3 linked regions of the Canis lupus familiaris genome follow. The protein of the gene in region 3 interacts with the protein of the main gene of each other region in a biochemical or structural test. Links are inferred from orthologs where the notes say so. Each region holds a gene or a part of one and is shown on either strand. Other genes may lie near its edges.

Region 1 (4,172 bases), on a different chromosome or scaffold from region 3:
ACTGGTGTGTGTCCAGTGGGAGGTGGGTGCATTACACAGGAGCCCTGTGGGCTGCAGGGAATAAAGCCAACGTCACTGATGGAGCAGGTGTGATTTTCCTGGTTCCTGCACCAGTGCTCTGGGGTCCCTGTGCTGAGAGGCTGGGAGGGTCTGGGCAGAGCACCTGAAAAAGTTGTCAACTAGCTGTGACCCACATTTGGTGACTGACACAGTCACTAAAGCTCTGATGGGTGTGAGGATGTGGTTTGGGTCTGGCTTAGGTCCCTGTCCACCAAAGAAGGTGGGAATTGGGTTTGTTGGCAGGAGTGTGGGTTATAGATGTGATTCCTCATAGCCCAGAAGTTTCTGGACTGTGAAACCTCAGGAGTGCCACCCCTCTCTATTTCTGAACCGGCAGGGCAGGCCAGGCATCCAGGAGGAGATGGACACAGGGGTAACTGTCTGCCCCTCCTCCACCAGGGTCAGGGGCTGGGGCCCTGGCTACTGCTGCTGAAGCACCTGACAGCTATGACCCTCATTGGGGGTAGGGGGAAGGACAAAGGGATGCACTCCTACATTCTGGATTTTCCCAGAAGTTTGGCACATCCTGTCCTTCGGAGTTGGTCTGGTGAGCAGAGGGTTGCTGCAGTGTGACCTGGGCCACACCTGCTCCAGTCCAGGGCCAGATGGGGCAGTGGAGGCTTGGCCTGCCAGTGTCCAAGGATGCCTTGGTTAACTGTGGGACATCCATTGCGTGGCCGCAGTGAAGGTTCTGGGCCTTTAAACCTGGGACCAGCCTGCCCATGCCTCCTTTGGGAGAAGTCCCTGTTCCCTGCTGTAGGCTGCAAGCTCTGAGCAGAACCCACACGTTTTGGGGTGCCTCCAGGTCACAGCGTGCTCGCCCTGTAGCCCAGCCCGCCGGCAACGGCTCTGATCTTGGGCAGCCCAGGTGATGCTTGGGGAGCGAAGCTGGCAGGTCAGGTGCCTGGCACACAGCCAGGGAGAAACTCGGTGGCCTCCGCCGCGGGTGCCCCGAGGGAGCTGGGAGGAGCCGGGAGGAGCGGGGAGGAGCCGGGAGGAGCGGGGAGGAGCCGGGAGGAGCCGGGAGGAGGAAGTGAGCTGGGGCGGGGGTCGGGGCGCTGGGCCTGCAGGGGACCCCGCCGGGGAGGGGAGGGAGGCCCGGGGTGGACAGGGCCCCAGGGCTGGGTCCCGGCTCTCGGGGGAGCCTCACCTGCCCGGCGGGGCGGGGCGGGGCGCTGGGGGCGGGGGGCGGGGCGCTGGGGGCGGGCGGCGGGGCGGGGCGGGGCGCTGGGGGCGGGGCGCTGGGGGCGGGCGGCGGGAGCGCGGGCGCAGTGTCGCAGGAGCCCGCCGAGCTGCGGTCGTCGCCGCCATGGGGCAGATCGAGTGGGCCATGTGGGCCAACGAGCAGGCGCTGGCGTCCGGCCTGAGTGAGTGCGCGCGGGGGCTCGGGCCGCGGGCCGCGGGGCGCGGGCTGGGAAGCGGGACCTGCCACTGCGGGCCGGGGCGGCCGGCGGGGGTCGGCGGGCTGCAGCCTGCCGGGCAGCGGGGGCGCTCGGCCTGCGGAGGGGCTTCGGAGCCCCTTCCCCCGCCCACGCCCCAGCCGTCCCCTCGACGGCCCATGACCCCCGCCCCGCCGCCGGACCGCCGCACCGAGAGAGGAAGTTGCAGCCAGGAGAAGAGGCGTTTCCTCCTTGGTGGTTTCCGGGGAGTCCCTGCCCCCCAGGGTTGGGTAAACCCGGCAAGGGGGCGCCCTGGTGGCCCTGCTGCCCTGGAGTGGGGGGCCGGGGCTCCCTCTCTTCCTGGGTGGCAGGGGCTCTCCGTCGGGGCCCAGGCCCCCCGTTCCACAGAATGGCATCTGGGATTTCATAAGGTGGCTAGAGACCCCCTAGAGCGAGCCTGGTCAGCTCAGAGCCCCCAGCCACCCTGCCACCTGTGCTCAGGAGCTCTGCTTACGGAGCATGGGGTCTGCACCCGAGCTCTGTGCTCACAAGCAGGAACTTCTCCGGACTGAGTGGGGTAGAGCTGAGTCCACACCAGGGCCTGAGGCAAGAGGGGCCGGAGGCTCTGCCTCCTGACCAGGGACCTCCCACTCCCAGGAAGGGCCTATGAATGTGCTGAGGAGGGGGGCTCTCAGCCCAGCACCATTCCCCTGGGACCCTCCTCCCCCAGGCCTCCCTCCACCTGGGGAGGGAACTTGGGGAGGGAAGGCGGAGAGGTAGATGAAGTCTCCCCGGCCCTGCGCTGCGGGATCACATTTTAGAGTACAGGATCTAGCAGTGTGTTGTGTATCCAGGCAGGTCACCCCCTGCACTGGGCATCTCGAGTGGCAGAGAGCTCAGTGGGTGGGTCACGTGGTGCTCCCCTCTGTCCCCAGGCTGTCCACTCCAGGCTCTATTCGTAGAAGGCCCACTGTGTGCAGGCTGGCCGTCCTGGCCTGGGCTCCTGCTTGCGGTGCTGTGGCACCCAGGCTGCCCTCACGGCCGCTGTGCGTACGGTGCATTTGGGGTCTGGGCTCAGCCTTCTCCATCATCAAATAAGACAGTTTGTCAGAAGGTCCCCCAGGGCCCTGCTCTGCTTCCTCCCTTGCTGACTTTTCTTCTGGGTGTAAACTGCAGCCTCCAGGGGATGGCTCAGGCCTGATGAGAGCCTAGCCGCAGTCATGCTCCACAGGTTTTCCTATTGTGGGAAACCCCCTATGACCAGATTGTGTCACCTGCTACTGAAAGCCTTCCCATGGCTTTGCGGGACGCATAACCAAAGCCCGACCGATTTTGGCCTCTCCTGCACCCGATCCTCCAGCCCCCTGCCTTCTCTGGGCCTCGTCCACAGGGTTCGTTTTTGTCCCTGTTCCCCTGAGCAGGCCGCAGGGCCTTTGCTGAGGAGACATCTATCTGAAGCATCTGTGGCTGGCTGGCTTCTCCATTCATTTCTCGGCTCAAAAAGCCGCCTGCTTGGAGGAGTCTTTCTAGAGCATCAGGCGGAGCATAGCCCCGGACATTGCACCACATTCCCCAGTTTCAATGTTGATTTTTGTTCCCCCTGATGAGACCAGGAGCCCCCCAGGAGCGGGGGCCTCATCGTGTTCCTGCTGTGTCCTAGTAGGGCTCTGTCAGCGTTTGGTGGGTGGCAGACAGTCCTGCCTTCCTGGTGAGTTAGTGGGGTTTTCTTCTGCCCACCCCCCCGCCCCCACCCCCCTGCTGACCCCAGGCAGCAGAACTGCTGCTCAGGACAGGAAATCAGGCGCTCAAACACAAGGGTGTTGGCTGGATGCAGAATGCCGCCCTTCCCTCTTCCAGCCCACCCGGACCCTGACGGCCAACAAAATAAGTTAATATGTAGCAGAGCTCAGCACCAGGGATAGGAAATCTGCTGGCAGGAAAAGCAGAGTGAGACTTCAAGGAGATGTGTCTGGGTCAAAGGAAGGGGCGCCCAGGGCCTCGAGCTCTTACCTGGTGGGATGTGGGGGCCTAGTGTGGAAACAAGGGAGTTTGGCCTGCGTGGCTGGCCCACACCGGGGAGGGCCTCCTGCATGGGAAACAGTAGGAAGCAGGTCCCCCCACCCCGAGGACACTTGCCACCTGCAGCCAGGCCTGGACTTGAAGTCACGGACAAGACAAACCCTTGTGGAAACTCAGGCCTGTGCTGCATGTGGGGAAGGGCCAACTGTCTCCTACCCTGTGCCAGACCGAGAGAGGCCTGTGAGCTGGGCCCAGGCTGGAGAAACCCCGAAGCCCCCCCAGCAGAGGCAAACATGAACATTGTCTGCAAGGCTGCCGCAGGAAACCAGACTCCACCAGCTGCCAGCTCGTGCCCCCACCCACCCCCACCCCCCGGGGAGGGCCCTCTCACACCGCCACAGAGCCAGAGCTGCCCAGCCTCTTCAAGACCTGAGAATGTGAGCATGCCTTGATGCCTACGAGTGTCCCAAACTGCTCGGGGAGGGGGGGAGGAGCAGAGTTTTATAGCAAAAACAGGACAGCGCAAGATGTGAACTAACACAGAACGTCAAAGAAAAAAGTCATCAAAGGTTAATGAATTGAATGCTCTGTAAAGATGAGAGGATTTGTGGAATGGAAGGTGGGGCTCAGGGAACCTCACAGCACACAGCCCAGAGACAGAGAGGGGGTCATTAAAGAGCAGTTGAGGGGCACCTGGGGGGCTCCGTTGGTGAG
Region 2 (3,954 bases), on a different chromosome or scaffold from region 3:
CCAGCACGGTCACCAGTCACCCCGGGGCTCCAACTTATGCGACATTCTCGTCTTTTTGAACTCCTATTTTTTTTTAAGATTTTATTTATTTATTCATGAGAGACAGAGAGAGGCAGAGACACAGGCAGAGAAGCAGGCTCCATGCAGGACTCGAACCCGGGAATCCAGGATCATGCCCCAGCCAAAGGCAGGCGCTCAACCACTGAGCCACTTGGGCATCCCTAAACTCCTATTTCTGATAGTTCGTACAGAATGACACACTTGTTATCTTTTTTTAAAAAAGATCTTATTTAGGGGGGTCCCTGGGTGGCTCAGCGGTTTAGTGCCTGCCTTTGGCCCAGGGCTTGATCCTGGAGTCCCAGGATCAAGTCCTGTGTCAGGCTCCCTGCAGAGAGCCTGCTTTGCTCCTCTGCAGGGAGCCGGATGTAGGACTCCATCCCAGGACCCCAGGGTCACCCCAGGACCCAGGTGTCCCACACTTGTTATCTTTTTGAATTAGAAAGACAGGCCCTTGGGTGGCTCAGGCGGTAAAGCATATACCTTCAGGTCCAGTCATGACCCAGGGTCCTGAGGTCCAGCCGCACATTGGGCTCCCTGCTCAGCGGGGAGCCTGCTTCTCCCCTCCCTCTGCCTGCAACTCCCTCTACTTGTGCTCTCTCTCTGCCAAATAAATAAATAAAGTCTTTTTTAAAAACCTGAAACTCGGGCAGCCCAGGTCACTCAGCAGTTTAACGCCGCCTTCAGCCCAGGGCCTGATCCTGGAGACCCAGGATTGAGTCCCCTGTCGGGCTCCCTGCATGGAGCCTGCTTCTCCCTCTGCCTGTGTCTCTGCCTTTCTCTCTAATAAATAAATAAATAAAAATCTTAAAAAAAAAAAAAACCCTGAAATTGTTACTGAGAATTGTAGACTCATATGCAAAGGTAAGAAGCAACAGGGGGCAGCCAATTAAGCCGACTGTGCTCTTTCTCCATGGGGGCCCAGTGTGCCATGGCTGCAAACAGTAGCCTCCTTGGTAGTGTATGCAGCCTGTTGATTGTATGGGTTGCCCTAAGGGACCTTGGAGACAGCCCTTTGTGGTCGACTTAGAGGTCTGACATAATGTTATCTCCAATCTAGGCTGCAGACAGGTATGCGAGGTGCCTTTGGGAAGCCCCAGGGCACAGTAGCCAGGGTCCACATTGGCCAAGTCATCATGTCCATCCGTACCAAGCTGCAGAACAAGGAGCATGTGATTGAGGCCCTACGCAGGGCCAAGTTCAAGTTCCCTGGCCGCCAGAAGATCCACATCTCCAAGAAGTGGGGCTTTACTAAGTTTAATGCGGACGAATTTGAAGATATGGTGGCCGAAAAGCGGCTCATCCCAGATGGCTGTGGGGTCAAATACATCCCTAATCGTGGCCCCTTGGACAAATGGAGGGCTCTCCACTCATGAGAACCTTGCACCACCCGAACCCTATTCATGCCCACCAATAAATCCTGCTTCCTGTCAAAAAAAAAAAAAAAAAAAAAAAAAAAAGAAGCAACAGGGGATCCCTTATACCCATTGCCCAGTCTCCCTCTCACTCCCACATGAAGTTGTGCAAGATATTCACACTGATGCTCTCCTATAACATCTAATTCTCTTTTCATTTGTGTCATTTTTCAGGTAACTGCCACTGATCGTCTTGAAAACTGCTGGATCCTGGTTCTTTCTGTCAGAGAGGTTTGGGGACGGGAACGATGAGTGGGGTGCTGCTGGATTTTTGTACGTACCCCTGAATACGCATCACTTGAAAGAATACAAAGCATTCAGAGGGCAGAGAGCAGCTCTGTGCTGCCCCCTCAGCAGACGAGCTGTGCATGTGTACCTGTGTGCACTCCTGAGCTCTTGGTTCTTTTGGGGAACAGATTGGGGAAAAGATGAGTACTTAGATCTGGGGTGTGGGTACCAACAAGACAGCATCTGCGCATCGCCATAGGTGTCTGATGAAGTTCCTGCTCCAAGCCCTACACCTTGAGGGGCAGGCAGGCCCCTTCCAAGCAGGATCCAGCCTCCAGCCTATTTCCGGGTATGTTAGGACACCAAGCACCTGAGCCAGTATCACCCCAGCCCTTCCTGGTGACTGGAGAATCTGGCACGTGGTCATTACCACGTGGAGATGATGGGGGAGGCCGCCCCCCATCGTGGCCCTGAGTTCAGGTGGGATCCCCCACCACACAGCTCCCACCTGCCATAGCTGTTCACTGAGGCAGAACAGTGGGGGACATCCCCCAGATGACCGTCAGGAAGAAGGGCGGGGACGCCGGGTTCACCCCGGCAGCTGGGTCCCCAGGGCCAGAGAACAGCCTCCCCACAGGTGGGGTCCCCGCGGCCACCCTGGGTGCGCGGCTGTCGGGGACCCTGCTCACCCGTAGCGCGGCCTCCGGGTCCCCGGCCAGCAGGTGCACACAGCCCAAGTTGAAGCACATCTTGGCGGGCGGGTCCGGGTCGCCCGAGAAGAGGCGCAGGGCGCAGCCCCAGTCCCCACGGGCCACCGCCTGCACGCCCCGGTGCCAGTCGTGCACCAGGTCCCCTAGCGAGGGCATGGCGCTGTGACGGCTGCCGGCCTGTGCTTCCAGGCTGGAACGGGGCGGGCAAGTGGGTGCCGTGCGGCGTCCGGCGGGACTGGGGGCCAAAGGCCGCGGAGCAGGGGCTCCAGGGTCCGGAGAGGCGCGGCGGAGTGGGCGCCGGGAGCCGTAGCCCGTGCAGTCGGTGAGCCTGCGCAGGTGCGCCACGCCCCCGGTTGCCCTCGGGGCCCCAGGCGGCCCCTGGTGTCCCCGCGGCCCCGCCCCCTCTACATCCGGCCCCGCCCCTTCCCTCCAATCGGTCGCCCCCAGCCCGACTTCCGCCCTCAGCTCCCAGCGTTCGCGTTTCCCCGCCGGTAGCGCCCCCGGCCGGGTGGGTCTCAGTGCGCCGGGGAAAGCCGTCCGGGATCGCTGCGGCCGCGGCCGGGCCAGGGTTCCGGGCGGACCCCGCGGGCTCAGGTGAGCGACGCCGGGCGCGGGCCCAGGAGGGCCGGGGTCAGGGTTGGGGTCCTCGCCCAGCGGCCCGCGGGGACAGCAGAGACCCAGCGTGGGAGGGGTCCCCGAATCCAACCTCCGGGACGGCGGGTCGTGGGGAGGTGCCGGTGACACTCGTGGGGACCGTCCGCCCCGTGTCCCTGTCACCTGCCTCGTCGCCCTCTCCCTCAGTAGGGACCCACCTGTCCTGACCCACACCCCCTCGGGAACAGGGCCCCACCAGCCCCTGCCCCGCCCCGCCCCGTCCCCTCTCTGGGACAGGGACCCACCCGCCGCGCCCCTGTGGCAGGCCGGAGCACCCTGTGCCCTGTGGGCTTCCGTGACCCCCAGGAACTCCTTCACCTAGAAAGTAGAAGCCCCCCCCCCCCAAGACAGAGGCACCTGTGGACCTGGAGGTGGCACCTGCCCCCCACCAGGAGCCGCCCTGGAAGTCTGCAGGGGCTGCAGGGGCCCCTGCCTTCTCAGCACATGTCCCTACTGATGCCCCCTAGGCGTCTGGTTGGCTGTCACGCTCTTAGCCACGTGGGTCGGGGTTCTCCGGGGAAACCAGGCCCAGGGCAGAGGGGGAGCCTGACAGCGAGCAGCTGTGGGGCCTGGAGGAACCTGCAGGGGCGCAGAACTCAGGCTGTTCGTGAGTCTGGGAGCCAGGTCTGTCCTCCCAAGGCCTTCTGGGGACTGGATGAGGCCTACCAGGTTAGGGACGGTCATCTGCCTCAGGACAAGACTACCGTCCCGACTGTCAGTCTCCTAGAAAATGCTTTCTGGGCACTTGGGGGCTCCAGCGACCTGGACTATGGTCCGGAATTCCAGTCCCAACTTGCGTTCCCTCGCCCCTCCGTGCCCCTGCACCAGGTGCTCTTGCCTCTCTCTCTAGTGGTTGACCCACTAGGTGGCACCATGGCTTTGCTGGGTTG
Region 3 (4,182 bases):
TGCAGCCCCACCTGACGGGTGTCGCAGCAGCACGTCTATGACCTCCTGGGCCCTTGCATGGAAAGGCCAACCCTGCGTGTCCTGGGTGCTGAAGGGCTGCAGGCAGCGCAGGCTCTGAGCCTCCAGGCTACAGATGGCAGGGCTGTGTGGCGGGCGGCGGTGGGGCTCTTCAGGAGTGGGCAGGATCACCAGACTGGAAGGGGGGTGGGTGCAGGTGGGGGAGGGGGGGTGGGTGAGAGTGCCCGGGCGTCCCACCCTTCCCCGGCGGCCACCTCCCAGCCTCGCCCCTCCCCTGGCCTCCAAGGGCTTTCCCGGGCAGGGGACTGGGGGCGAGTGGGGTACCTGCCAGGTGGTAGCACTGGCTCCAGGTCCACGGGTTGCGGCTCAAAGAAGCCTGTGAGCACCGCGCTCCAGGACAGCTGCTCCGCTGCAGCCAGCAGTGCCCGAGTGTAGGTGTCCAGCAGCCGCAGGCGCGCCAGGCCGCGGCCTGTGCGCCCCCCGCGCACCAACAGCGATGTGTCTGTGGGCACGATGGGCTCAATCTGGGGGTCCCCGGGCCGCTGGCGCCCCTGCCGCCCCTGCCCCTCCCGGGTCCCCGCGGGCTCCCGCAGCGGCCTCACCGGGGAGCTTGGGGAGAATGCGGTCGGATCTGCGCAGCAGGCCCGCCTCCACCGGGAACGCCTCCTTGAGGGTCTTCTAAGGAAGAACCAGCGAATCCGCCTCAGTCCAGCGGTTCCCTCGGGAGGGTGAGGGTTCCTCGCGGGGATGGGGGTCATAGGAGCAGGGATCCTTGCGGGCACGAGGCCACCGCCTAGGCAAGGTCGGTGCTGGGCCTCGGGGGACAGGGTTTGCCGCATGCTCACTCACGTGGAGCTCCTTGAACTCAGCCCAGCTCCTTCGCACAAAGGTGTCGCTGCCGTCCGACCAGCACACGGAGAAGGCGAACGTCTGTTGGGAGAAAGGTTGGGGGCGCCTTGGAAGGGCCAGGCCAGGAGTTCCCTCCCTCCTCCTTGGGGCTGGCAGGGACCCCGCGCCATCCTACCTGAAGCCGCCCTGTCTGCACCAGGGCCGCTGCGCGCACGGACACCGGGTGCCGGGAGCCTGCCATCGCCGCCTCACAGCTCGCGGTCCTGGGCTTCTGGAACTGCCCAGCTGCGACCAAGGGGCCCACTGCTTGCAGCTCACCAGGAGGGAGGGCTCCCAGGCTCCCGGAAGATGACTGGAATTCCCCAGGTGCTCCCCCGCCCTGCCCTTGGGTCTCTCCCAGCTTCCTCACTGTGCCCAAAGCAGATCCGCCTAGAGGGACAGGAACACAGGGCAAGGCGAGGGGGCAGGGGCTGACTCTGTCTGGCATGAGTCTGGCCCCTGGGAGGAGGAGGAAAAGGAAGGGCCATCAAAGTGCCGCAGCCTGGCCTGACTCTCCCATGCCCTGTGTGAGACAGGTTGAGCCTCCCCAAGGTGTGCCTCCGCTCTGCCTCCCAACTCACCTGGGCGGCTGCCGGCCCTTGTCATCGGGAGCCAAGGACCCAGTACTGAAGGCTTTATGTACTTTGGCTTAATACTCACATTGGAGGAAAGGTCTCTCAGTGTTCCCAAGTCACAGAGGAGGAAATTTACATGAAATGGATAATTCAGGCTTTTCTGGATATGTTGGGGAGAGTGGACCTCACAGGCTCTTCTCCCGTGTGGTGGGGAGACCTGGGGCAGGACCAGGAGGGTCCCTGTCTGCAGTCACTGGCGCGTGGTGTGTGTGGGGGGATTGGTGACTAGGACTGTTTTGAGAGCTGCCCCTGAATTCATGATTTACCACAATTTACCCCGAACACAGCCTCTGAGACGAGGAGTGACCATTCCCCCACTAACAGGGCTGAAGCAGGGGTAGACCCTACAGTCCCCACAGGTGTGCTTAGGTGCCCCCACCTCTGGGCTGCTTCCTGAAGTGGAGGGCCTCCAGAGCTCCACCCAAGCCTGCTCTCGGTTGGCTCTTCCTGCTGTTGGGGCCACTGGCTCTTTGTTGGGACTCCTGCCCCAAGTCGTCCAGGGAGGGGTTAGCCTCTAGGTCACTCCCCGGAAAGTCACCCTGGCCTGGACAAAGGGCCTTTGTGGATCTGTCCCTCCAGCGTCTCTCTAACCTTCCCTGCTCACGGCCCAAGCAATGAACTCCTGCTGACAGAGGCCTCAATTGCAGGGTGCCTTTAGCCCAGCTGTCACGCTCTCCCCAACCTTCGTGGGGCCATGCTGAGGGGCTGGCCCGGCCGGCTGCAGGCGGGGGCAGACACTTCTCCCCTGGAAGACACAGAGAAACTGGGGCCTTCTAGAAGGGCACTAAGGCCCCCTCCCCGCCCCATCCGACGGCCCCTGTTCACACCCCCAGCAACCCTGGCTCCTTTCCCTCCTGTGCCTCTCCATGGCCCCCAGCCTCACCTGGCCCGTGGATACCTGCCCTCCCCCTTCCCCGCCCGAGCTCCTCACTAGCTCCTATGAAATCTGCTCAATTCCCAGCTCCCATGGCAGCGACAAGGCCCTGCATGTGCTCCCGCCCACCTTTAGATCTCTCCTCCCACCACCTTCCCCAGGTCCTGTGCCACTGGCTTCTGCCCATGCCCACCTCCAGCCTTGGCCTTGACGGCCTTCCTCCACTGAGTCCTCATCTTTCAGGCCTCTGCCTAAGTGTCACTCCTCAAGGAGGCCTCCGGGATTAGCCACTCCCTGTTCGTGGTCCCCACCAGAGCTTGTCAGTGGACGTGTTACTGTGACTCCCTTGTTTCTTTTTTTTTTTCTTTTTTTAAGATTTTATTTTATTTATTCATTCATGAGACACACAGAGAGAGGCAGAGACACAGGCTGAGGGAGAACCAGGCTCCCTGCGGGGAGCCCGATGCGGGACTCAGTCCTGGGTCTCCAGGGTCACGCCCTGAGCCAAAGGCACGTGCTCAACCGCTGAGCCCCCCGGGCGCCCCGACTCTCACCGCTGACCACTGGACAGTGAGCCGGGGGTCAGGGACGGATCTCGGGCCCCGCCCTGCCCAGCGCCCGGGCCAGGACTTGGAACAGAGCAGACGCCGCACAGACAGGTGCAGGTGACGCACGAGCGCGCGGAGGCTGAGGCCGCTCCCGACGGGGACGTGGACAGCGCCCCCAGGCAGCCCCGGGAGCCCCAGGCCCGCGCCGCCGGCTGTGCAGGCCCCGCCCCGCCCCGCAGCCCCGGCGCCCGTTGCCATGGCGCCCGTTGCCCGGGCCGACCCGGGGGACCCAGGCCCCGGCGCGCCGCGCTCTGTGCGCTCACCGCGCCGCTCCGCGTTGCCGAGGCGCCCGTCTGCCGACCGCAGGGCGCGCCCCGCCGAGGGCACAGAGCCTGGCCGCGGGCACGCGGGGCGGTCGGAGCGGAGCGATGGGGGCGTCCCGGGCCGCAACACGGACTTCGCCCCGGCCGCAGCCGGAGTCCACGGCGCGGCCGCGGCGCGGCTTCCACAACACGCTACTCTTCTACTGGAGGAAGCGGGAGCGCCGCCACGGACGACGCAAGCCGGGCTCGGGACGGGGACCGAAGCCCGGGAGCCCGGCCAGGACCCGGGTCGCCAGCCCCGCGCCCGCGCCCACCCGCACCCCGGCCTCAGGCTCGGCCGCCTCTCCGGCGCGCTCCGCAAGCCCCGGACCCGGCCCCGCCCCCCCGCCGGCAGCCGGCCCCGCCCCCGGCCCCGCTCCCAGCTCCAGCCCGGCCTCCGCGCCTGCGCCTGCGCCCTTGCCCGGCTCCTGTGGCCGCGCCCTGGCGGCGGCGCGCGCGCTGGCCTGGAGGCCGACTTGGAGGCCCCTCTGGAGGCCCAGCTGGCCCGGCAGGCCTTGCGCGGGCAACATGGCGGCGCCCGGCGAGCGGAGCCGCTCCGGCGGCGGGAGCCTTTTCTCCTTCCTGCCCGGCGGCGCGCGCTCGGAGGTGATGGACGACCTGGTGACGGACGCGCGCGGCCGGGGCGCGGGGCGGAGAGATGCGTCCGCCGCAGCCTCGGCCCCCGCGCCGACCCCCGAGCCCCAGGTCGCCGAGGACCCTTCCCGGAGGCGGCCCTGCCGGGCCTGCGTGGACTTCAAGACGTGGATGCGGACGCAGCAGAAGGTCAGATGCCCCTGGGGAGCCCGGCCTGCAGCCTTTCAGCCGTTCGCGCGCGGGGTCGCGCCCGGGCGGGGCGG

The links.
Region 1: the proteins of NOXO1 (region 3) and CYBA form a complex in vitro, tested with the Homo sapiens proteins (3 studies listed by IntAct). The link is inferred for Canis lupus familiaris from reciprocal best matches to the Homo sapiens genes NOXO1 and CYBA.
Region 2: the proteins of NOXO1 (region 3) and NOXA1 form a complex in vitro, tested with the Homo sapiens proteins (2 studies listed by IntAct). The link is inferred for Canis lupus familiaris from reciprocal best matches to the Homo sapiens genes NOXO1 and NOXA1.

What each region holds. Positions count from the first base shown.
Region 1 is NC_049226.1:65,174,753-65,178,924, forward strand, and holds the start of CYBA (cytochrome b-245 alpha chain), read left to right. Parts: upstream 1-1,369; coding exon 1,370-1,427; intron 1,428-4,172. UniProt on the Homo sapiens protein: Subunit of NADPH oxidase complexes that is required for the NADPH oxidase activity that generates, in various cell types, superoxide from molecular oxygen utilizing NADPH as an electron donor.
Region 2 is NC_049230.1:48,297,851-48,301,804, forward strand, and holds the start of NOXA1 (NADPH oxidase activator 1), read right to left. Parts: upstream 2,804-3,954; 5' UTR 2,567-2,803; coding exon 2,390-2,566; intron 2,050-2,389; exon of another isoform or gene 1,960-2,049; intron 1,746-1,959; coding exon of another isoform or gene 1,721-1,745; exon of another isoform or gene 1,647-1,720; intron 1,511-1,646; exon of another isoform or gene 1,434-1,510; coding exon of another isoform or gene 1,131-1,433; exon of another isoform or gene 1,087-1,130; intron 1,071-1,086; exon of another isoform or gene 937-1,070; intron 1-936. Other genes in the region: 60S ribosomal protein L10-like, read left to right, coding at 1,131-1,433; EXD3 (exonuclease mut-7 homolog), read left to right, coding at 1,721-1,745.
Region 3 is NC_049227.1:39,395,901-39,400,082, reverse strand, and holds the start of NOXO1 (NADPH oxidase organizer 1), read right to left. Parts: upstream 2,803-4,182; 5' UTR 2,652-2,802; coding exon 2,609-2,651; intron 2,287-2,608; coding exon 1,921-2,286; exon of another isoform or gene 1,513-1,920; coding exon of another isoform or gene 1,488-1,512; intron 1,297-1,487; coding exon 1,043-1,296; intron 949-1,042; coding exon 868-948; intron 697-867; coding exon 621-696; intron 521-620; coding exon 343-520; intron 194-342; coding exon 12-193; intron 1-11. Other genes in the region: GFER (FAD-linked sulfhydryl oxidase ALR), read left to right, coding at 3,854-4,108. UniProt on the Homo sapiens protein: Constitutively potentiates the superoxide-generating activity of NOX1 and NOX3 and is required for the biogenesis of otoconia/otolith, which are crystalline structures of the inner ear involved in the perception of gravity.